2 linked regions of the Mytilus edulis genome follow. The protein of the gene in region 1 purifies or fractionates together with the protein of each later gene. This does not show direct contact. Links are inferred from orthologs where the notes say so. Each region holds a gene or a part of one and is shown in the gene's direction. Other genes may lie near its edges. The genes, in order: ATP-dependent RNA helicase me31b-like and protein LSM14 homolog A-like.

Region 1 (11,284 bases):
TCTATGAGTCAAAAGCAGATTTAGACTTATTTATGTCTGAGCTCTGACTGTTTATATATAACTTTATTTTAATGAACTGTTGGATATTTGTTAGTCTGCAAAACTATACAGTTACAGTCTTTTGATGAGGTAAATATGTGGTTTTATTGACTTTTGAATAACTGATATACACTGAGGCAATGGAGGCCGAAGTGAATATCAGTTTTTTAAGTCAATTTAACCACATATTTACCGAAACCAAGGAATTGTATATTCCTTGCCGAAACAAAAGACAGTAATTGTTTTATTCCATATTCTGAGAGAAATGTATACATGTAATGGAATGTAATTACCAAAACCAATTGTACATCAAAGGATTTTTACCAAAATTATACATGTAAAAGTATGCGACATTTTGTGTGGTGAATAAACTTTTTCCTTCGGTGAATATGCTTATTTATTCAAAATCTGATTCATATATAGAAAACCCTATTAAAGTTATATCAATATGGAATAATCTAAGTTATTCTATAAAAAATCACTTATTGTCTGCCAGTAAAACACACAAAAATTTGAAAATGAATAGGTGAACTATAGGTGAAAACCGTAAAATCATTGAAAAATTATGTAAAGCAGTGATTTTTGTTTCCATGATAATCAAAAGTGTTTATTCTGAAAACATAAACTAAAACTCTATGCTAAATCAAAATGAATTGAAAATGTGAAATGTATGCGATCTTTCTTAATGCGACTTCTAAATACTAAATAAATTTAAAGTGTGTGTCTTACAAAACAATAACATTACAATAATAAATAGTCTAGGACATCAAATTGTGATCAAAATATTTCGTCCCAAACACAGAGGTTAGTAAAGTGTTGATTCTATCAAGTAGTTTGGCAACTTTGTACAATTCGAGTTGACCTTTCATTTTTATCTCACCTTGCCCGAAGGACCAAGTGGGCTTTTCTCATCACTTTGCGTCCGTCGTCCGTCGTCGTCATCGTCTTTTAACTTTTACAAAAATCTTCTCCTATGAAACAACTGGGTCAAATTTAACCAAACTTGGCCACAATCATCGTTTAAAAAATGTGTCCGGTGACCCGGCCAACCAACCAAGATGGCCGCCATGGTTAAAATAGAACATAGGGGTAAAATGTAGATTTTGGCTGATATCTCTGTATTTAGAGCAAATCTGACATGGGGTAAAATAGTTTATCAGGTCAAGATCTATATGCCCTGAAATTTTCAGATGAATCGGAGAACCTGTTGTTGGGTTGCTGCCACTAAATGGGTAATTTTAAGAAAATTTTGCAGTTTTTGGTTATTATTTTGAATATTATTATAGATAAAGATAAACTGTAAACATCATAATGTTCAGCAAAGTAAGATCTACAAATAAGTCAACATGACCAACATGGTCAGTTGACCCCTTAAGGAGTTATTGTCCTTTATAGTCAATTTTACAAATTTTTCGTAAATTTTTGTAATCTTCTACAAAAATCTTCTCCTCTGAAACTACTGGGCCAAAACTTAGCCACAATCATTATTAGAGTATGTAGTTCAAAAAATATGTGCGGTAACCCGGCCAACCAACCAAGATAGCCGCCATGGCTAAAATTAGAACATAGGGGTAAAATGTAGATTATGGCTTATAACTTTGAAACCAAAGCATTTAAAGCAAATCTGACAAGCATTTAAATTGTTCTATCTGCCCTGAAATTTTCAGATGAATTGGACAACTGGTTGTTGGGTTGCGGTCCCCCAATTGGTAATTTTTAAAGAAATTTTGCAATTTTTGGTTATTATCTTAAATACTGTTATAGATAGAGATAAACTGTAAACAGCAATAATGTTAAGCAAAGTAAGATCTACAAATAAGTCAACATGACCAAAATGGTCAGTTGACCCCTTAAGGAGTTATTGCCCTTTATAGTCCATTTTTAACAATTTTCATTAATTTGGTAAATTTTTGTAAATTTTTACAAAATATGTTCAACTGTAACGAAAGGGCCAAGTTTATTATAGATAGAGAAAATTGTAAGTAGCAAGAATTTCAGTACATAAGGATCTACAAACACATCACCATCACCAAAACACAATTTTGTCATGAATCCATCTGTGTAATTTGTTTAATATGCACATAGACCAAGGTGAGCGACACAGGCTCTTAAGAGCCTCTAGTTTGAATCTCAAAAAGTGGCGGGGTTTATTTCAAAATGCAAATAAAATCCGTATAGGTAAACTATACGATTGATAATAAGAGAATTGAGGATTTTAATACAAATTTATTTTAAAGAACGTTATCCACCGATTCCTTCTGCTTTGTACGGGCCGGCTAAACTCCATCGTCTACTTTCAAAGAATTCATTAAGTAACATTTCAGAGAATATTAGCGATTTCAATTTGAGTTCAACGAGTCTCGTTGATCCCTGATTTTAGGGACATTTGGTCAACTGGCATCAGATAACATTCTTTTGATGAATGCTGCACCTGAATCGAAACACTACGTCTAGAACAAATACGCTGGGGGTGATACTACATTTATTCGACCAAACATCTTTTATTATCTTTTGAAATTGAAGTTGATGTTTTTTTATAATGAAAGATATAAAAGATGTAAATAGAGGAGAGTGTTTAAGATGCGACGAATTTATTAAAAAAAGCAAAACAAGAACGTGATGATGAGCGTGATCCAAACAAAATTGTATATATTCTAATGTACTTGACGATGAAAAATATCCAAAAAGTGAAAATGTACGTCACACTAAAACTTAGAAACATGTTAACGAACTAAAATTAAAAAAACCAAACATAAATGACTTACAAAGGCCAGAGGATCCTGACTTGGGACAGGCGCATAAATGCGGCGGGGAGAAATATGTTATGACCATAATGTGATATCTCAACCCCCCTCTAAACCTCTAGCCAATGAAAATAAACAAACACACAGCAATACGCACAGTAAAAGTTCTTAAAACTCAGTTTAAAAGAAGTCCGAGTCCGATGTCAGAATGGGTAACCGTTAAAAAGAAATTAATAATTCATATGTTTCCAGATAGATTTTTTTTATAAACAAAACAAATAAGAGGGACTTCAGTATTATCAAAATTGCAAATAATTTGTTCGTTAACAGAATAGTTTTTTTAAAATGTCGTTAATACTTACAAAATCAAAAACCTTTATTGACATATTTGTTTTTAATCAAATGTTTTTTTTTGTTATCTTCAGAGCGAATTTTGAGAAACAGCTTAGAATAGTAATATGCAATTAAAATTTGAACGATTTCATACTTAGTTCAGTGTATGTTCACTTGTTTTTGTTAATATGTCTTTTTATGAGGGGGGATAGGAGGGGTCCTGATCCCGAAATCCAGGGCTTGAAAACACGAAATCCCGAGGTCCCGAATTTAAATAAAGTAAATCCCGACGTCCCGAAATCCAAAAAAAAATAAAAAAATTCCCGAATCCCGAAATCCCGAGCTTAAAAACACCTGATCCCGGAGTCCCCCCTCATTTATTGAGTTAAGCCATTCCAATTAATGTTTTATAGTGTATCTTTCTATGTTGTAATGTTACACTAATGTTTCAGGTAAGGGTTACGGTTGCTACCTATTTTAAAACGGTTAAACATGCTGCATATGTTTGCATCTGTATTAAGTCAGGGACCTGATGTTCGGTGGTTGTAAATTGAGTATGCGGTTCTTAAAGTGTTTCTCGTTTCTCATTTTGTATACATAGATTATGCCGTTGGTTTTCCTGTTTACTAACGATTGGTTTTAAAATAGTCAATTTTGGGGCCCTTTATATGTTGCTGTTCGGTGTTTGCTAAGCCGTCCCCGTGATGAAAAGCGTACTATATTGATTGATTGGTTAAATATTTCTCAGTCATGTCCTGTGTTTGAATTTGTTTATTAGCTTTTTGGTCATGAATGTTTGTCTCTAATATTTAATTAACTGTGCATTTGTATTCAGATATCGCAGATCAAATTTATTCGTTCATTGTTTAATCATACGTTTTTTGATTGAATTAAGTCTCCCAATTGATATTTTATCGTATGTTTTTCTTTGTTGTGATGTTATGCTATTGTTTCAGAAAAAGGGAGAAGGTTTGGATCCATTAAAACGTTTAATCCCGCTGCAAATGTTTGCACCTGTCCTAAGTCAGGAAGTAGTTGTCGTTTGTTTATGTAATATATACGTATTTCTCGTTTCTCGTTTTGTTTATATAGATTAGACCGTTGGGTTTCCCGTTTGAATGGTTTTACACTAATAATTTTGGGGCCCTTTATAGCTTGTTGTTCGGTGTGAGCCAAGGCGCCGTGTTGAAGTCCGTACTTTAACCTATAATGGTTTACTTTTTAAATTGTTATTTGTATGGAGAGTTGTCTCATTGGCACTCACACCACATCTTCCTATATCTATGACCTATAATGATTTACTTTAACAAATTGTAAATTCGATGGAGAGTTGTTGCATTGGCACTTACACCACATCTCATCATATCTAATTAGGTCTGCAATATGGAATATGCCAGTGTTGGAAATCAAATTTGATGTGATTTATTAACAGGCAAAGAACCGAAAGCTTTGTTAACAGATTATGTCTACTGTTGTTTTGTTTAAATAGTAATAAATGTCCGAAATATTTGTATTGTTCCTACGACTGAAATTTCTTTGATTGCAATTTATTTAACTCCCATAAGAACGGTTTTTACGATCAGTTTTAGAAACTATATTGTATCCAAAATGTTATTTATAGAATCGGTTCTTGATATGTTATCAATTCTCTTGATATTATCAATAAGACCGAGAGGAATGGCTGTCTGTATTTTTATGCCCCACCTATGATAGAAGAGGGGCATTATGTCTTCTGGTCTGTGGGTCCGTCCGTTCGTCCATTGTACAGTCCTTCCGTCAGTTCGTCCAATCTAATTAAAATATTGATCTCTGACTACGTTATACCTCATATGGATAGTTGTTAGATCTCATATGTAGTATAACGTAATCAGAGATTAATATTTTAATTAGATTGTCCGTTCGTCCGTCTGTCCCGCTTCAGGTTAAAGTTTTTGGTCAAGGTGGTTTTTGATGAAGCTGAAGTCCAATATCAACTTAAAACTTAGTACACATGTTGCTTATGATATGATCGTTCTAATTTTAAAGCCAAACTATACTTTTGACCCAAATTTCACGGTTCAGACCACTGAACATAGAAAATGAAAGTGCGAGTTTCAAGTTAAAGTTTTTGGTCAAGATAGTTTTTGATGAAGCTGAAGTCCAATCAACTTGAAATTTAGTACACATGTTCCCTATGGTATGATCTTTCTAATTTTAATGCCAAAATTAAATTAGACTTTTACCCAATTTCACGGTCCATTGAACATGGAAAATGATAGTGTGAGTAGGGTATCCATGTAAGTAAGTAAGTAAAACTTTATTTGGATTCGGCATATTGACAAACAATACAAACATATAAAGCTCAAATGAGCTTTTCACCGAATATAAACATATGCAATAACAAATAAAACAAGGCATGCAGTATCATGCAATAAATAATAAAAAGCAGCACCAAAAATTAACTCTAAGCAAATAGCATATCCATGTATCTTGCAAAATACCAGAACATATATATGAAGCACCAATTTTTTTTTAAATTTGCAGTTAAAAATATTTTTTTTTTTAATTTATGATTTATAAAGTAAAAATTTCAAATCTTTCAAATTTTAAAATGTATAAAACAAAATTTCAGTTGCAATGCAAGCTGTTAATGCAGCATAAAAAGCATAAATATTGTAACAGAAATTATCTACAGGCAGACTCGCAAAAACATTCCGTTCCACTCCAGGACTGCCGGAACAAGACTCTTAAAATGTGAGAAGCAGTCCTGAAATGGTCTGGTAAGCTATTCCACAAAGAAGCAGCAGCAAAACTAAAAGATTTTTTTCCACCTGAGATAGTTCTAACCTGTGGTATTTCCAAAATATTACTGTATCTAAAAGAATAGTTTAGTTTAATTTGGAGTAAATTTTGTAAACATACAGGAGCCAAATTATTTAAAATTTTAATACAATTTAATTCAACTATTTCGTACAGACTTTTTGATTCCCCATGCTGCTTTTTAAGTACTGTTTTAATTAGATGTTAAAACTTATTTGTCTAAAAATGTGTTCCCTGTTGTTGACTACATGTACCATTAATCCACCCTTTAGCAGAAGATGACAACCGGAAGTTTATTTGTTTTGCAGATTTCTTGGGTCAAAGTTCAAATATAGTTTCAAAAATTTCCTTAGCACTAAGATAAAACCTATTTTCTAATTTAGTTTGAATTGAGTATCTTAAATTAGTTTTATTTAAACAAATTTAAATCTGAAACTAAAGCAAAACAGCGATATAAGTCCCATTTGTTCAAATGGAAACAAAACAACAACGCCACCTATCGCTCAATCGGCCATTTTGAATGTTATTGGTAAGTTTGGTGGTCAAGATATAAATCCCCAGCCATCGGACTTATAGATAAACAAAGAACTCTCAAATTTTACAATCATTGAGTTGAAACATTTAATTACCTGAGAAAGTATTTATTTTACATTGAAAGATATGTTCCGTTGTAATTTAAGTAATAATTCATCCACTCTATAACGAAACAGCTGATTTTTTTTTTATAATTATTACCAAATATTTATTGCAAAGCCAACAACCTACGCGGATTTTACAAAAGTATATAGAGTTTTCATTATGTATTAAGTACGACTGTTAATTCAAGATATGAAAATTGTGCTGGAATTCATTAGAAAATATACGAACTCCCGAGACCGGTATAAATAACCGATTTCAATAAGACGCCAAAAAGAAATACCTTTCTGTAACCCGCATCAGGTTCCAGTAAGACACTCACCGTCTGCCAGTTATAAACAATGACAACCATAAATGAGGATGTTGAATTTGGATTATCTTTTTTTAATTTAACTCTAACTATAGTCTTTCAAAGAAATTTTGACCCCCCCCCACCCCCCCCCCCCCCCTTTCTCAACATCTATGTAGTTTTGAACTCGTCAAATTGTTGATGATGATGGAAGAAGGTCACACATTAGCTTATTTCGTCATAAACGCACAGTAACCAAAATAAAATCATTCTTGTAATTGTTTTATCCTCCTAACATGCCTAAAGGGATAGAAAAGAATAAAATTGATAGGTTCAAGAGTTTATTTATAACTGAAATACCGTGATTTACCATATTTTGCCAATTTCCATTTAATAAATTACATCATCAGCAAAAAAATTGTTTTATTCAGGCCAAATTTATATCAGAATGATATCATTGGCAATGTATTTGTTTTAAATTTAGTCCAAATAATTATGTCTGGCAAGGCTATTTTATTTTTTTCTGGGACACCTTCCTACAAAGTAACGCTGAAGCCATTTTTACGTCTGGACTTAGAGTGCAAATATTTTTGGAACTTTGAGACCTAATTTTGACATTTTCATTGCAGACTAGAAATTTTCACGTAGTTACAAAGTCCTACCTCTTTGTGCTTATTGACACAAAGTTTTCCTGAAATATTTAAAAGAAATGATAAAATGAGATATACTTCCATTTCAGTGTTCCAGCTAGGCCGTTTTCAGAGGGCGCTGCGCCCGCCCCAGTCTGCACGGTTAGCCACTAGTCCGATGCCCCAGACTAGTAAAATTTCATTCGGACTAGTAAGTTTTTGCAAAACTTTGTTTGGCCCAATAAGAAAAATGTCAGAATATTGGTCTTCGGACTAGTAGTTGAAAAAGTTTTTGGTGCAGACTGCCGCCCTTTTCCGAGTGGCGCCCTGTGCCCTTTTTACAGTTTCCAGGGCGCCCTGCCTTTTTTGAAGATTGATTGCATATTAATTTGCGTATTGATATGATACGCTAATTACTAAATTTTACCTGGGGAAAAGATTATGACTTTGTTTACCACCCCAAGCTAATCAATGGTTACAACTGGTGTCATAATCTGTTGTTATAGGTAATCCGTTTATCGGATGGGTCATTAATGATCATCAACATTAATTCGTTCAAATAGAATCGGTCAGTCGGCAATTATCTTTGAAGAAATGTGCATACAACAACTTGGGCATAATTTGCGATGTTTACCGTAGTTTCATGGAAGAAACGTAATGACAGAAAGTTGGAAAACCATTATAAACTCGTTGAAGACATTGTTTTACTTGTTTTCTGTAAAATAAACAGAAAATTCAGACGTATTTGTCATTGACTGCCTTCATTTTTGATACGAAAATAATAAAATCGGCCGCCATATTGTGATCATATTTACATCATATTTACGTACTGTTTATAATCCTCCAAAGAAGGAGCACACCCGAATAAAGAAAGATAACTCAATCTGATTTTTTTCCTAGCATTGAGTAACCCATTTACATATTCTAAAATGTGTCTCCATACTTCTTGCTTAAGAATATATATGTTTAGGTATTTATTTTGAGTTATGGGAAAAGTTAAAGAGGGTCTTAGTAGCAGTGTTGGTAGGGTGCCTTGGTCATCTTTTTCTGTATTCTTTATTTTTGATACTATTTTTCACTGTTGCTTTATATCCTAAAATTGTGAATTTACTGAGCACAGCTGTTTTGTGCTGTATTGCCATCAAGCACAGCAGGGGTAGAAAGGTGAAACTGGTAAAATGTGGTAGACCATAGAAACAGTATGAAACAGATCTCCTTTCAAAACATACTGCATATAAAGTTCAACTGTGCCAAGCAATGATAAAAAAACTTGTGTGACAAGCTGCTTGACAAGTTTTTCAGCCTTAAAAGTAGAAAGATAGAGTTCTATATGGGCTAAAGATGTTGTTCTTGTATAACCTGTGATTCAACGAATAAACACAAATGTTTGATTAACATCTTTTATTAAAATATGCCCTTTCATATTATCATATCGCGCATTAAATGCCCTTTTTCAGGATTGGCACCCTGCCCTTTTGAAAACCTAGCTGGAACACTGCATTTGTTATTTTGAGGTGGGCAAATATTTATTTTGTTTTTCAATTAATTTTCCAGAATCTAAAGAAACTCCACTTCCAGTGAAAATAAAATAGAATATTAAACTCGGTCAAATCTGATGGACCCAAATTTCCAGAATGTTGGATTTACATTATCCCGCAATTCGGGTCACCAATGTTTCATATATCAAAGTGGGGTTACTACTGGGAAAAAAATCTTTCAATCTTTTAAATGCAATTTACATAGGTTTTATTTTGTGTATTTTCAGATTCAGATATCGCTGATGAGTTTCACATAAGTGAATATTTCGCTGCGTAAATAAATAAAAAGGAGTTTTGGATACATAAATGATGGCTTCAGCCAGAATGGAACAAAATATGAACCACGCTGGACCTCCACCCATGGATGGGAAAGGGAATCCTGGCACAGGGTATGGTCAATTTATGAACAACCAACAGAGAAAAGTGAAAATCAAACAATTTAAGATAATCAATGATCATGCATGAGTGAGAAATTAGTTGTAAACAGCAATAAGACAGCAATTCTAATGAAAGTAATCACAAAGCATTCTTTAATAAGCAACCACAATGAATTGCATATATTTTGAGATCACATATATTGATTACATACAAGAACTATTTTTAGCTAAAACTAAATCTTAGAAAACATGGTAAATATCTTGCTCAAAGATTTTGACAGCTACACATTTGTAAAAGATATGAAAATAAGACTTGTATGATTGTCAATGAGACATTCAACTAGAGACCAAATGATATAAATGATTTTAAGTAACCGTACAGCTTTCAGCAATGAGCAAAAACCCATTCCACATAGCTTTAAAAGACCCTGAAATGACGCATATAAAACAATTCAAACAAGAAAACTGATGACCTGATTTATGTACAAAACAATGAATGAAAAACTAAAGGATATTCTTCAACAAGTCATTGAATCACTTAGTACTGAATGTTAAAGGTTACACAAGTTTTTTTTTATGCCAAACCTGATCACCCTAACCTGGGACAGTGGCATTACAGTACAACATTAGAACTAACTATGAAAATAGTTCTAAAGGGTTAACTCATTAGATTGATACAAAGCAAAAAGACATACCCAACTTGGCAGAGTATAAATACGTTCCCACAACAAAAAACAACATGTTAAGTACACATCTGAGAGTAGTTGAAGTTACTTAAAGCTATTTCAAAGCAAGGCTTTCCAAAGAAGGCGGTAGACGGCAGATTTCCACAGTTTACAGTCGCTTCAAGTGCAAGCTACTTCACTGATAAAAATATAAATTCAAAAAGAAAAAATATCTTTTTCAATTGTTTTGTTCTTTTTCAATTATTTTGTTTTATTTGTGCCAGAGCTTCTGGGGGCCTTCAGCGGCCCCCCAGACCCCCTGCCATTTTGCCCCAAGCTGTTAAGCTTGGGCGTTTCGACTTCGCCGAATGCATGTTACAGCCACCTGCCACCTATAATTGTAATTTAGCCTACTACTTCAATTTCAAGGGAAAGTCCTGTCAAAGCCTATACGACTTATTAAAGGATTTCCTTTTTCATTAATTTTACATTTTTTGTTTGGAAAAAATTATGACCAGACATGTCAGATGAACTAAATTTCTTCAAAATGAGAAAAGAATTGTATTCAGATTTTCTTTAATGTTAAGTGAGTTATCTGCTATTGTCTTTCAGTGACCAGGGTTGGAAGTCCAAATTAAAGCTTCCTCCAAAGGATAACAGAATCAAGACGACTGTAAGTATAGTAATTAGGAAAAAATATTTACATTAGGTAAATTACAAAGGTTACCAACCTGTACAGCAACCTGATTTATAGAGTTCTTTAGACACTTACAAGTTATGTTGAAGGATTTTCCTTAGAGTTCACTACATAATATTATATATGATGTACATAATATTTTATGAACATGAAGTAGTTGTATACTTTACCTATTTGATAAACAAGACGATGAGAGAGATGTACATTGTACATGTCTAAGAATCTTTGATGATTTTGATTTTCTAAACTGATATATTGAATCTATGCATTTTGTCATTTGGACATTTATTCTGAATATTTTTTATTCCATTCAATGAAGTAACATGCACATTTGTAGCCTATTTAGTGTATATTTAAGCCTTTCAGTTTCAAAAGCAATGATGTGCAATTTCTCTGCTTTTTAGGATGTTACCAATACAAAAGGGAATGAATTTGAAGATTTTTGTCTGAAGAGAGAGCTTTTGATGGGGATTTTTGAAAAAGGATGGGAATCACCATCACCTATACAGGAAGCTAGTATTCCTATAGCACTTACAGG
Region 2 (11,627 bases), about 12 Mb from region 1:
ACAAGAACAGATTCTAAACGTATCTAATTTGAAAGGGAGATAATCAAACTGAATATTACTGGAAATTCTATATTTTTGTAGAAAAACGATAATTAAGAATGTGTATCCCTATTTTTCTTATTATTCAATGAAAGCAGTTGATTTAATTGATGTCTGTCTAAAAAAAATTTGGCCAAAAATTAGTTTCCAAATAAAAATCTCGACAAATTTGGGAAACAAATATTCTTAGAAAATAAGTCTATGACAATATTTCTTTCATTGAATTTTGAATCTATATACATAGCTTTTTATCCAGAAAATTTACGTTTTTCTTTTCAACTTGATGCATTTTGTGTTTAATCGGTTTTAAGAAATGTTAGTAATCTAATGAATTTGATTTACAAGATATTCACAAAATATAACAACATGTCCCTTACACAAAACTGTGATGAACTGGTTTTGTACTAGAATTGTTCCATTTGGAAAAAAAAACAAGCAAACAAGGAATGAAATATGCAATTATATATATGGGCTGCTGCCAAAATCTAAAGTTCAAATAACAATAAACAAAACATGTCAACATTTCCCTTCTTTGAGTGGAAACCCACATTTTCAAAACAGCTAACCCATGATGTTTTGCTTAAAAAGGAGAGTCTGTAAAAAATACCTTCCCATGACAATTTGCTTAAAACAAAAGTGTGTACTTACTTTATAAATTTCTATTCTATGTTCTGCTATTGTTGCTAATTTTTCTACTAAGTCACGTAATCGTTCTTGTGTAGCATGAGATACAAGGTTAAGAACATCATTAGTTACATCTAAACCATGCTTCCTCGCTGAAAAATATAATACATAAAATTGTTGAATAAATATTTTTAAGTAATAAATAGTTGATTTAAAAGTTTTATTTCATTTTAACTGAAAAGGGTCTTATTTTATTAGTAATCCTTACAGCGGCAAATAGTTGTCGGCAATGATTATATCCCATATTGCTCCTCAATCAAATAACTTTATTTCTTAAAAATCATCACAAAAACAAGATTGAGGTAAGTACAAGAAAATTAACATATCTTGTAGAAATGCTGTCGGATAATTTGTCCTATTTTACATAATTGATGAAAAGCATGTTGAAAACTAACTGACGCCTGCAGCAAAGAAACATTGCAATAATTACTATACCTATACAAGAAACTCTCTTCTGTAAAGCTGAGTGGTGTAAAAAGGCTTCATCAGAACAGGACCTGATGTGTGTACCAATAAACTCTGAATTGCTGGCTAATATATTCCTACTCTCCTCTGTCAGGTTTACACCACCCATAGTAGCTACATCATTTATATCGTCATCATCTCTGTAAATAATTATCATTTATCCTTCATAGCTACATTATTGATAATATCTTCATTTAATCTTCTATGATTTAAAAAAAAAAATTGGATTTTTTGATTGCATTGGTTTGATTAGTATGTATAGCATGTAGAAAACCAACAGGTTACAAATGAAATGGATGTCAGCAATTATATATGGCCTTCAACAATTTATTAACCCATACTGTCGACAATAAAAGGAATGCATGTATTGGGATTCGGGAAGACAAGGAGGAAAACATTTTATGTAGTTGTTGATGACTAGAAAGGTGTAGGGTATAAGTCAACAGCAACACAATGAAAAAGAAGTCAACTAGAGAGTATTAATGTTTTCAAATGATATAATATATTCATATCCTACCTATATTACAATTTAATAAATTAAAAAGACAAAAAAACTTGATATAATTAAAACCTGACATTTTCCATATACAAAATTAAGTAAAAAATCTCTAAAACATTCATTTTGAACACTATACAGCAAATTTTCTAAGAAAAACTCTGAACAAGGGACAATACTCACTTCAATGATTCATATTTAGGTTTAGCACTATGGGGTCTACTGGCTGATGGACTTGCCACCGGGTGTCCTGCCGTCATTACTGTCTTAGGAATAACTGGTCTCTGTTGCATTCTAACTTGGTTAGGTCTTATATGTTGTAATCCATCCATTGGCTGCTAAAAAGAGGCAAATATCTGAATACATTGATTTATAATAATGATATTCAGACGTACATAGTGTGGATTTAAGGGTAACTGTCTCACTCTGCCCCCATTCATTTAAGATTTTGAAAGTAATTTCGTTTTAAGATAACCCAAGAAAACTGCAACCTTGCTCAACTGGTCCTTAAAATATCAGCTAACATTTAACTACATTTAAGATAATTGGTTTACGAAGAAATGATATGGCAACAGGAACTTCCACTCTTACCAAGATAACCAAATACACTTTCCAGGCAGCTAAGAAATTTACAAAAAATGTGTCCAAATTATGAATTTGAAAATTCTAACTAAATTTTCAGTTTGCTTTTGAAACTATTGTGCAATAACTTGTTGATCTTATATACCACAAAAGTCTCACTGCTATAAAAAGTGGCCTGAGAAGTTAAAATTTGTTTTTGTATGGTCTCTTCTCTAATTCCAGAATGTATCCATATAATTACCTGCTGCAACCTTATGTGGCTTGGGTGTGGTTGTATATTTGAACTACCGAATGCCGTGCCTTTCATAACCTCTATTGGAGGTGCTTTTACTCCTTCTATATGCATCTTATTTTCTAGCAAGGACTGCCGTAAATGTGGTAGACTTTTCTGAAATTATATCAATGTATGAGTTCACCTACTATTATATTTCTAAACAAGAAAATGAGCAACGTATGGATTATGTAGAAAAGATATAGAGAACATAGAATGCAACTTAAAACTATAAAGAAATGCAAGTTTAATGTTGTTTATGTTTATTAAATAAAAAGATAGAATAAAGCTAGTTAAAACTTCATTTTGTAGAAACATTGAAACTGATTAAATTAATCTGAAATTAAGGGAAACATTTAATTTAAAAGGTGTATATATAAGTCACTCCTATAAAGGCTATAGTTACCTTGAGAAATGGCACTAAATATGGTTGAGGTGATGATTTAAGTTCTTTCTGTAACCTTTCAGTAAATTGTTCTGGTTCAACTTTATTGTCCTGTAATAAATATTTAATATATGAGTATATATCGGAAATTACAAAAATATGCATGGTCTAAAACATTGATAAATGTGTGAGCACTGTGGTAAAACATAGCATACTATATGAACTGTAGTAAACATGTTTCTTCACACAATTTTATCTCATTATATTACGAAGTAGGAAAAGATGTTTATTTAAAAAAAAAATCTGTGAATAAAATCATCATGGATACCAGGCTTTAAATTTTGTACCCCAGATTTGTGTTTTTTTCCTAGAAAAGACTCATCAGTCATTCAGTGATGCTCGAATTAAAAACGTGAAAAAGGCCAAATAAAGTATGAAGTTGACTAGCATTAATATGATTAAGAACCCAAACTTTTACTCAAAGTTTAGTAAAATGGGCTAGTGATATATATATAGATTTTAGATAAATAATAGCAATAAAATGCATATATATGTCATTAACAAAATGTCAAAAAGTTTGTAATCCTCTGTAAAAACCTCTCCAATAAATATGCAATCCTTGCAGAATCAATTTTTAGAAAAAAAAACCAGTATCAAATATACTTACTATTAGTCCTTGGATAAGTTCTCTGACATTCTTCACAGTTTGTTCTGGTTGACTTGCTGCTAGTTTGATCAAAGTTGACAAGAAATTTTTACATTTTTTCACATTATCTAATGGTTGTTGATGATGACCTGGTAATGAACCTGTAAACATAAATTCAGAAATGATGATAGAAAAACAAAACATTAATTATTTCTATTCATCATCTAATAAAATGCTTAGTTTAAGAATATCAAAATCTACCTGGTTTATCACGATATTGGTGCATTATTGTCCCTGAATATTAACCTATCTGGTTCAGAACTGAAAAAGGTGTGACAGCTTTATTTATCATGTCTATAATATCATTTCCCTTTATTTGGTATGAAAATAAAACTGTAAAAGTTAAAACTTCGAAATTTGGAATAGGGTTTATTTTTGCTGAAAATCATGCATGGAAAAGAGACTGCTTTATTTATCATAGTTCCTGGAAACAAAGTCTGTCATATTACTGTCATTGAGTCATTGTGAAGAGAATTGGTTTTAAATTATATTTTTGTTTTATCTGAACTTTTCTTTTTAACAAGTATTGAAATAAAATTTTCATGACAATTTTGAGTTATCTACCTTGACTTGCAGATGGTGGTTGAGATACAACTGTAGGAACTGATGATGTCACTGATGGTTGAGTATTTGGTCTGACTACCCTCGGAGGTTGTGCTTGTTGTGGTTGAATAGTCACAATCTGTGAATTTGGAGGGCGCTGCTGATGTGAACTTACAGGTGGCTACAAAGATAATGCATGTACATGTAAATTGAAATACATAAGAATTCAAGGTATCAAGTTGCATATATGTACATGTTGTATGTTGGCCTATCATGCCTATTGTCTAAATATGTCAAATTAAATTGTTACCAACATGTAACATATAAAATTAAGGACTACATAAAACACGGCAGGATATAAACTACACCATGCAGAAAATCTGGAAGAGAATGTGATATTGAAATGATTTAATAAGATAGTATATTGGGGGGAATGAGGCAATTGACTCCTTGTTAATTCATAGCTCCATCTGACGTAATCAGCTTGAATTACCTGCTTGCTTGAACTAATTAAAGTTCATTCAATGTATAATTATTAATTTCCAATAACTTTTGATAATACTATAAAGTCTGTCGGGCAGACAATCAATACATACCCTGACATACTGTATTCTTTGGCCTTGTGTAGTAGGTTGCTGAGATGCATGTAAAGCAGGGACAAACATCAGCTGACCTTGTTCATTTCTCATCAGTACTGTCCCAGGAGGAATTTGCACACCAGGCGGTAATGTAATTGTATTCTAAAAAAGTAAACAGGAAATGTTAGTCTATTAGTATAAGGTTGAATGAGGTATATTGATATCCGACATTTAAACAACAAATCCAAATAAAAGGAAAACAGATATAATTCATATAAATATTGCAATTGTCAAATGTCGGCAGGGTTTCTATGAATGCACTAAAAATGTATATTCTTGAACTAAAACAGCATTGCTCTACACAGAACTTTATCTAAAAAACTCACAAAGGTTTGACTTTTTTGTTTAAATATTTGAAATTAATCATATCTTGCAATATATTTATTGTGATATTTAGAAGCTACATGTATGTATTATAAACTTTAAGAATTATATGAATTACACATTTTTAAGAAAAATTATCAGACAATTAATATAAACCAATTTTAATAATTAAATCAAAACATACACTTGCTTCTTTATATTTCTTAAAAGAAAACGAACGAAATTACTAGGATGCAAAAACAGACATTCCTGAGCAGGGTTGACTGAGGGGCAAGCAATTATATTATTTTTTGAATGGCCTTAGAAAGGTGTACATGTGTTGTCTCCCTTTGATCTGGATAGCTGTACAGTTTTTTATCATACTTTTTTATTTTCTGTGATAATGTTACAATCTTATATATATTCATTTGTACAGGTGGGTAGTAAACAATTGAACTTTTTTTTGTAAATTTGTCAAGTTTTTACACATGATACATGTAGTTATCATCATTATGATATGATACATGTACATGTAGCTATGATAGTACTTATACTATCTGGCCACATCATTTTATGTGTATTTAAAATTGCAGTGTATAATTATGTCATTGCCAAAGAAAAATTACAAATTGAAGCATGATAATTTAGATTAATTAAAGTCTAAAAAGAGTTATTCCCCTTTTGATGACAAACTATAGAAATTGTGCTAATACAGTGTAGATTGGTTCATGTGCATGTTAATTACTGTACACATATATATAAGGTAAATAACAGTTGCTTACTTTAAAACAAGTCATATATACGGGTAACTGGAGCAAAAATTGCTTGTGGCTGTGCCCCTAAACATGTTTGAATATATGAAATCAAGGCAATATAACATTACACCAAACATTAATCAAGAGCTTATTGTATATCTTTCATAGCTGTTTTATACATTAACATACATGTACATCTCCGAAAGATACAATGTACATGCATGTAATCTTTACATTTTCTTTCAAAATTTTGTTACTCTTCTACATGCCCATGTCAGATTAAAGTGAGCTAGTCTAGAAAAAATAAACAAAGTAGCAAGTGGTATATAACTTACAGGAGCACCACCAGGTCTTGGAGCAATGTTTATTTGAGAGTGACGAGCTGGTGTAGCTATACGGACTGGTTGGTGTTTTCCATGAGGCACCTGTACTATTCCAGGTGGTCTATTTGAATGAGCACTAACATTAACAACTTGCATTTGTCCTGAATTTTGTACAATTTGTGGTCGCATTACTACATGTTGCGGACCTGTTTTCACTGTAATAACACCCGAATGGCCTTTGATTGGAGCATTTACAATATGAACATTGGTTGCATGTGTAATATGATTTCCTGATGTATATACACTATTTTGAAGTCCTGTCACTGCTTGTATAGCTGCTGTCCTTGGTTCATTTTTCACACTTGATACAGGCATATTTTCGGTTTTGACAATATACTGTGAGCTTATTGCTGGTTCTTGTTTAACACACACATTTTGTCCACCTGGAATTTGTTGACTAGATGATACTTGAATACAGTTTCCTTGTGACATTAAAGGTTTATGATCTCCTAATATTGCAACATTTTGAATAATAGCACTATTGTCTGGTTTGATTGCATGCTGCGAACTAGCGGATATGGCTGGATTTGAATTTGGCGATGGAACTGGTGAATTCCTTGCATTCTGAAAACCTGGAGAGTTTGATACTGTTCTTATTATGTGAGGGGACTGAATACGATTTGATTCTGGTATTGGAGAACTTCTATTCACTGTCAATGAGTTCACATGTGTACTAACAATATTGCTTGTTTGTGATGAGTTCATAGGATTTAATATTGAATTGATTCCAATCAACTGTGAGTCTGTTTTTGAGGAGGGAGACTGAACATTTAAATTATGAGAATTTGTGAAGTTTTTGTGAGCTGATACAGCTTGTCCATTGGCACCTACTCCAGTAGCCGTGTTGAACACTGAACCACTATTTTGTGGTGTTGAAGACCTTGTTGTGCCAATGTGATTGTTATTGACTGAGGCATCTGATAAAGAATTAGACACATCCTTATTGGATGGGGAAGCTAGACGTGCTTCTAAATTGCCAACTAAGGCATTAATTGCCAGTTCATCTACAGAACTATTAAGAATATCATCTAGAGGGTTGACAGCCGCCATTTCCCTAGCAGTAAATTTTTAGACTGAAGTACGCAGGCGCAAATCACAGATTTGTGGGACACTTTTTTCAAAAGTACGCCCTCTCGTGACAGAATCAAAACATCCGCCATCTTATATTCTGCTGATACAATATTTTGGATGAAGCAGATAAATCCGTTGGCATCCTCCTTTGTTTGAAAGTTTAGAGATTCCTTGCCATCATGAGTGGGGGGATTCCATATCTTGGTAGCAAAATAAGTCTTATTTCTAAAGCAGGAATTCGATATGAGGGTATTTTATATACCATTGATCCGAATGAATCGACAGTTGCATTAGCGAAAGGTAATATAGATAGCATTCCAGAAAATGAAATATATGCATGTTGTGAAATTAACATCTGCAACAAAAAAATAAATGCGTTTGTCGTTAAAAGCGACAGCATTCCTTTACCTACTCAAAAGTTTGGTGCCATGAAATAACCGGAAAGTTTATGACAAAAGCGATAGGTTTTGCACAAACGACAATGGGTAAACCCAGCACTTCCACTTTGGGAGTAAACACGGTAACGTTTGAGCTTTAGACATTATCATGCAAGTAAACATACTCGACTCTGACATAAAAAAAACGAATTTATGTTGTGAAAGATACCTGGCTTATCCTTGTGTCATGATTTAATATGCCCTACACTGGTTTCGTCTTAAACTAAGAAGATGCATCAGTGGCACTTGATACATTATGGTTAGAATGGATATCAGGTCCGTTCGCCCTAATAACATGTTCAACTTGGGTCTGTTAGCCTTGAGTTCCTTCGTCCATAGAGTCTGTTCGCCCTACTAAAAAAAATATTATTCTTGGCATTGAAGTTAAATAAACTTATTCAGATATTTCTATGGTATAAATTCTTGAAATTTATGGAATTCGAAACATGGAAATATTTAAAAGTTTATGGCTTGTTTAGGATTATTAATTATTCAATCACAAAATAATGCTCACTGATTGTGATACTTGTCTTTTGATGGATTAATAATAAAAACAAACGTTTTGTTTTGATAAAATATTCAGCTTCAAATTAATAGAAACAATGATGTACGAACTGTAAATCATGAGCAGTGATCTGGAAGTTTTTTTTCTCTATGGGCCCAGGGCCCCTCAAAAATAAATTCAATGGGCCATTTTAAAAAATAATGGGCCATGTTGTCAAATGAGTAGGCCATTTGAATTGACTTCTGTAAAAAAAAAAGTATCAGTATATTTTGGCAAAGAGATGTTGATACTTAAATAAAATCATGAATGTAAGTATCAACATCTCTTTGCCAAAATATACTCCATCATGGATATTGTTCCTGTGATTTGGTAATTCAATTTCAATGAATATACAATAACTTCTTCCAACCCCAATAATATTTAAGTCGACCTTTATTTACAATGTTTAAACTGGTACGGTTACCTTGTTCATATTCATGTTTTTTGTACATTAAATTTGGGTCTTCGTCGATACCATACTTCTTTCAGACGTTCCGTATCTATCAGAGGACATTTCGGGCATTTCCTCTGCACTTCTTGTATTATTGTAACTTCATCACATTGACAAGAATAACAAACAGTATAGAGTACCATTAATTCATAGAACAAAACAACAAATCGCTGAAGTCATGTTTACAAAATGTCAAAACGAGCCAAAGACCAAAAAATGACAAGGACACTAAGCGTCTGTTATGGAGATCAAAAACTATATTCCTAAAAAGTCTTTGGGGTTCTTCAATCGAAATAATAGCAAGCTAAACTAAATGAGATTATTATTAGAGTTAAAACTCGTCTGTACTAGCCAAATTTCACAAATTTAAAGTTGTTTATAAAAATAATATATCATGAATGATGGTTAATTACGTTTTTCGGGTTATCCGTTAGACCGCATGGTTCTATTATTACAATAGGAAAACACCGAGACGTTAAATTGCATGGTTCTATTATGATAGGAAAACACCCGAGACGTCCCAAAAATATATAGGTGCTCCTATTATTAGAGGAACTTTACACAGTTGTGTACACACACATGGCGGCACGGAACATTATCGGAAATTCATTTGACGATATCTAAACGTTTCGAAACGAAGTGAAAACTATCGTGCGCCACGTGGGCGCTTACATTTATCAATGTATGCGCCATTGCTTGTCAATATGCGCTATAGGCGCAAGGCGCACGACCTTCCCGATCACTGCATGAGACAGATTTACAAGTTCATTTATTCTTATACTCTTAGACTAGTCTCAGTTATACTGCATACATTGATTCATGATTGACTGAATACAAATTACAATTTTTTTGTTAACAAATATCAATAAAGATAAATACATTCATGACATTGTTTTCCAGTATTCTACTCTGCAAATCAAAGGGAAAATTATAAATTGGTTGTGGCAATATAAATAATGTCAAATTTTAACATATTTTGTTCAAATATTTAGAATTATGCAACTAGACAACACTTTGAAAAAAATAAAAATCAGGGCGAATGGACCCTGGGCGAACAGGTATCAGGGTGTACAAACAATAAGATTTATACCCATAGACCATTAAGAGTCTAACAAGTCGAATTAAGGAAATAGCCACTTCAATTGTTCCACAAAATGCAATCATTGCTGAAAGACTTGAGTGACTATCGATTGATTGGACTTTTGTATTTGCATGTGCTTTGTTTAGGTTGTTCTCATAGAGGTCTGCATTATTATATATTTATAGTCTTACTAGCAATGTTACAAAGATGAATTAGGAACAAGATATATAAAATGATTTATAGTATAATGATAATTATGTGTGCGTTTTCAGGGATCTCCATGACCTGTTTTGTGATGGTGAAGAGATATCTTTTGAATATCTTCTGCACCTTCAAATGAATATATAAAGGAAGATGTGGTATGAATGCCAATGAGACAACTAACATCACCACAAGAGACCAAATGACACAGAAATTAACAACTAATGTTCACTGTACTGCGTTCAACAATGAGCAAAGCCCTTACTGCATACTAGTCGGCTATAAATAGCCCTGTAATGACAAATTTAAAACAAATCAAATGAGAAAACTAAAGGCCTAATTTATGCCTTAAAACCCTGCCATTTTCATGACCCTTAGGCTTTTTATATAATTATCCAAAGGGTCCTCCTGATTTATAGACTTTTAAATCCATCAGTCAAACTTGTGATTTTATAATGACGTATGCAACAAGCACAAGTACCAAAGAAGACATAAAAACAGAGTTTAATTCCAAATCACATGATTACAGCAATTATCAATAATATGGAATAACATTACAAATATAAAAAAAAAACGAATATATATTAATATTAACTGCAACTGATCATGAATAATCTGACAAAATTCTTATGTTGTTATTCTGAATTTATTTCAAAGTTTACAATCAATTGATGCATCTGGTTTTCCAGTTTACATTTTTTGTACATTCAGTATAAAGTAACGCGCAATTTTACACCAGTACCCATACCCTCCTTCCTTGATGGGTGCATTTTACATAGACAAATATAATCGTATAATATAATCAAAATGAGGATGTTAATTTGATGTATGCCTTTTTGTGCTTCTTCGTTACATTTGTTGTTTTTATAGTGATTAAGATGATAACATAATGTTGACTGCTGTACCCCTATTTTTGACATTTTTACCTATTATGTCTGTTTGTTTTGTTCACGCATCGGTGACTATATAATGGAATTTGATGCGACTGTCATACAAGTGAGAGGTTTAGCTAGCTATAAAACCAGGTTCAATCCACCATTTTCTACATTTGAAAATGCCTGTACCAAGTCAGGAATATGACAGTTCTTGTCCATTCGTTTTTGATGCGTTTTGTTATTTGATTTTGCCATGTGATTATGGACTTTCCGAATTGATTTTCCTCTGAGTTCAGTATTTTTGTGATTTTACTTTTTGCTTAGTACAAATGTATATTTGTATCTAAGAACAAATGTATATTTGTATAACTTTCGCTAGTTAGTCATTAAAACTTTTTAATTGTTAATGTTAATCTTTCTTCAAGTTCAATGCTTTACTATTACGAAACTTCTTGTTGTTGATGCTGCAAATCAGCAATACTGATTCATGACTCCTGAATTTCTCAATGAAATATTTAAGCCTTAAACCATTACCTAAATAGCAAGAAAAGGACATGGGAACCTTGAGGACAGCTTGTGTTTACCGTTCCTTAATTAGAAATAGAGGAATGAAATACTTTGGCCCACTAGGTAGACGCTAAGTTTTGTCATGTTAAAAGTTCCTCCATCATTAAATTTTCATCCATGGAGATCCCTCTGAATGCAAAAGAAGAATTC

What was found.
Region 2: the proteins of ATP-dependent RNA helicase me31b-like (region 1) and protein LSM14 homolog A-like purify together in Caenorhabditis elegans (affinity purification with mass spectrometry; 3 studies listed by BioGRID, with this or other methods). This does not show direct contact. The link is inferred for Mytilus edulis from reciprocal best matches to the Caenorhabditis elegans genes cgh-1 and car-1.

What each region holds. Positions count from the first base shown.
Region 1 is NC_092348.1:72,000,669-72,011,952, reverse strand, and holds the start of ATP-dependent RNA helicase me31b-like, read left to right. Parts: upstream 1-6,202; 5' UTR 6,203-6,444; exon of another isoform or gene 6,445-6,552; intron 6,553-9,234; 5' UTR 9,235-9,313; coding exon 9,314-9,396; intron 9,397-10,661; coding exon 10,662-10,722; intron 10,723-11,150; coding exon 11,151-11,284. UniProt on the Caenorhabditis elegans protein: Probable RNA helicase required for oocyte and sperm function. Also required to prevent the physiological germline apoptosis mechanism killing essentially all developing oocytes.
Region 2 is NC_092348.1:83,811,067-83,822,693, reverse strand, and holds the start of protein LSM14 homolog A-like, read left to right. Parts: upstream 1-7,366; 5' UTR 7,367-7,500; coding exon 7,501-7,621; intron 7,622-11,627. Other genes in the region: transcription initiation factor TFIID subunit 4-like, read right to left, coding at 688-815, 1,159-1,328, 1,868-2,022, 2,508-2,654, 2,944-3,033, 3,590-3,729, 4,193-4,352, 4,768-4,911 and 1 more. UniProt on the Caenorhabditis elegans protein: Transcriptional regulator. Involved in modulating embryonic expression of ATP-dependent chaperone cdc-48.1. May play a role in mRNA gene silencing, and RNA granule (P-body) assembly.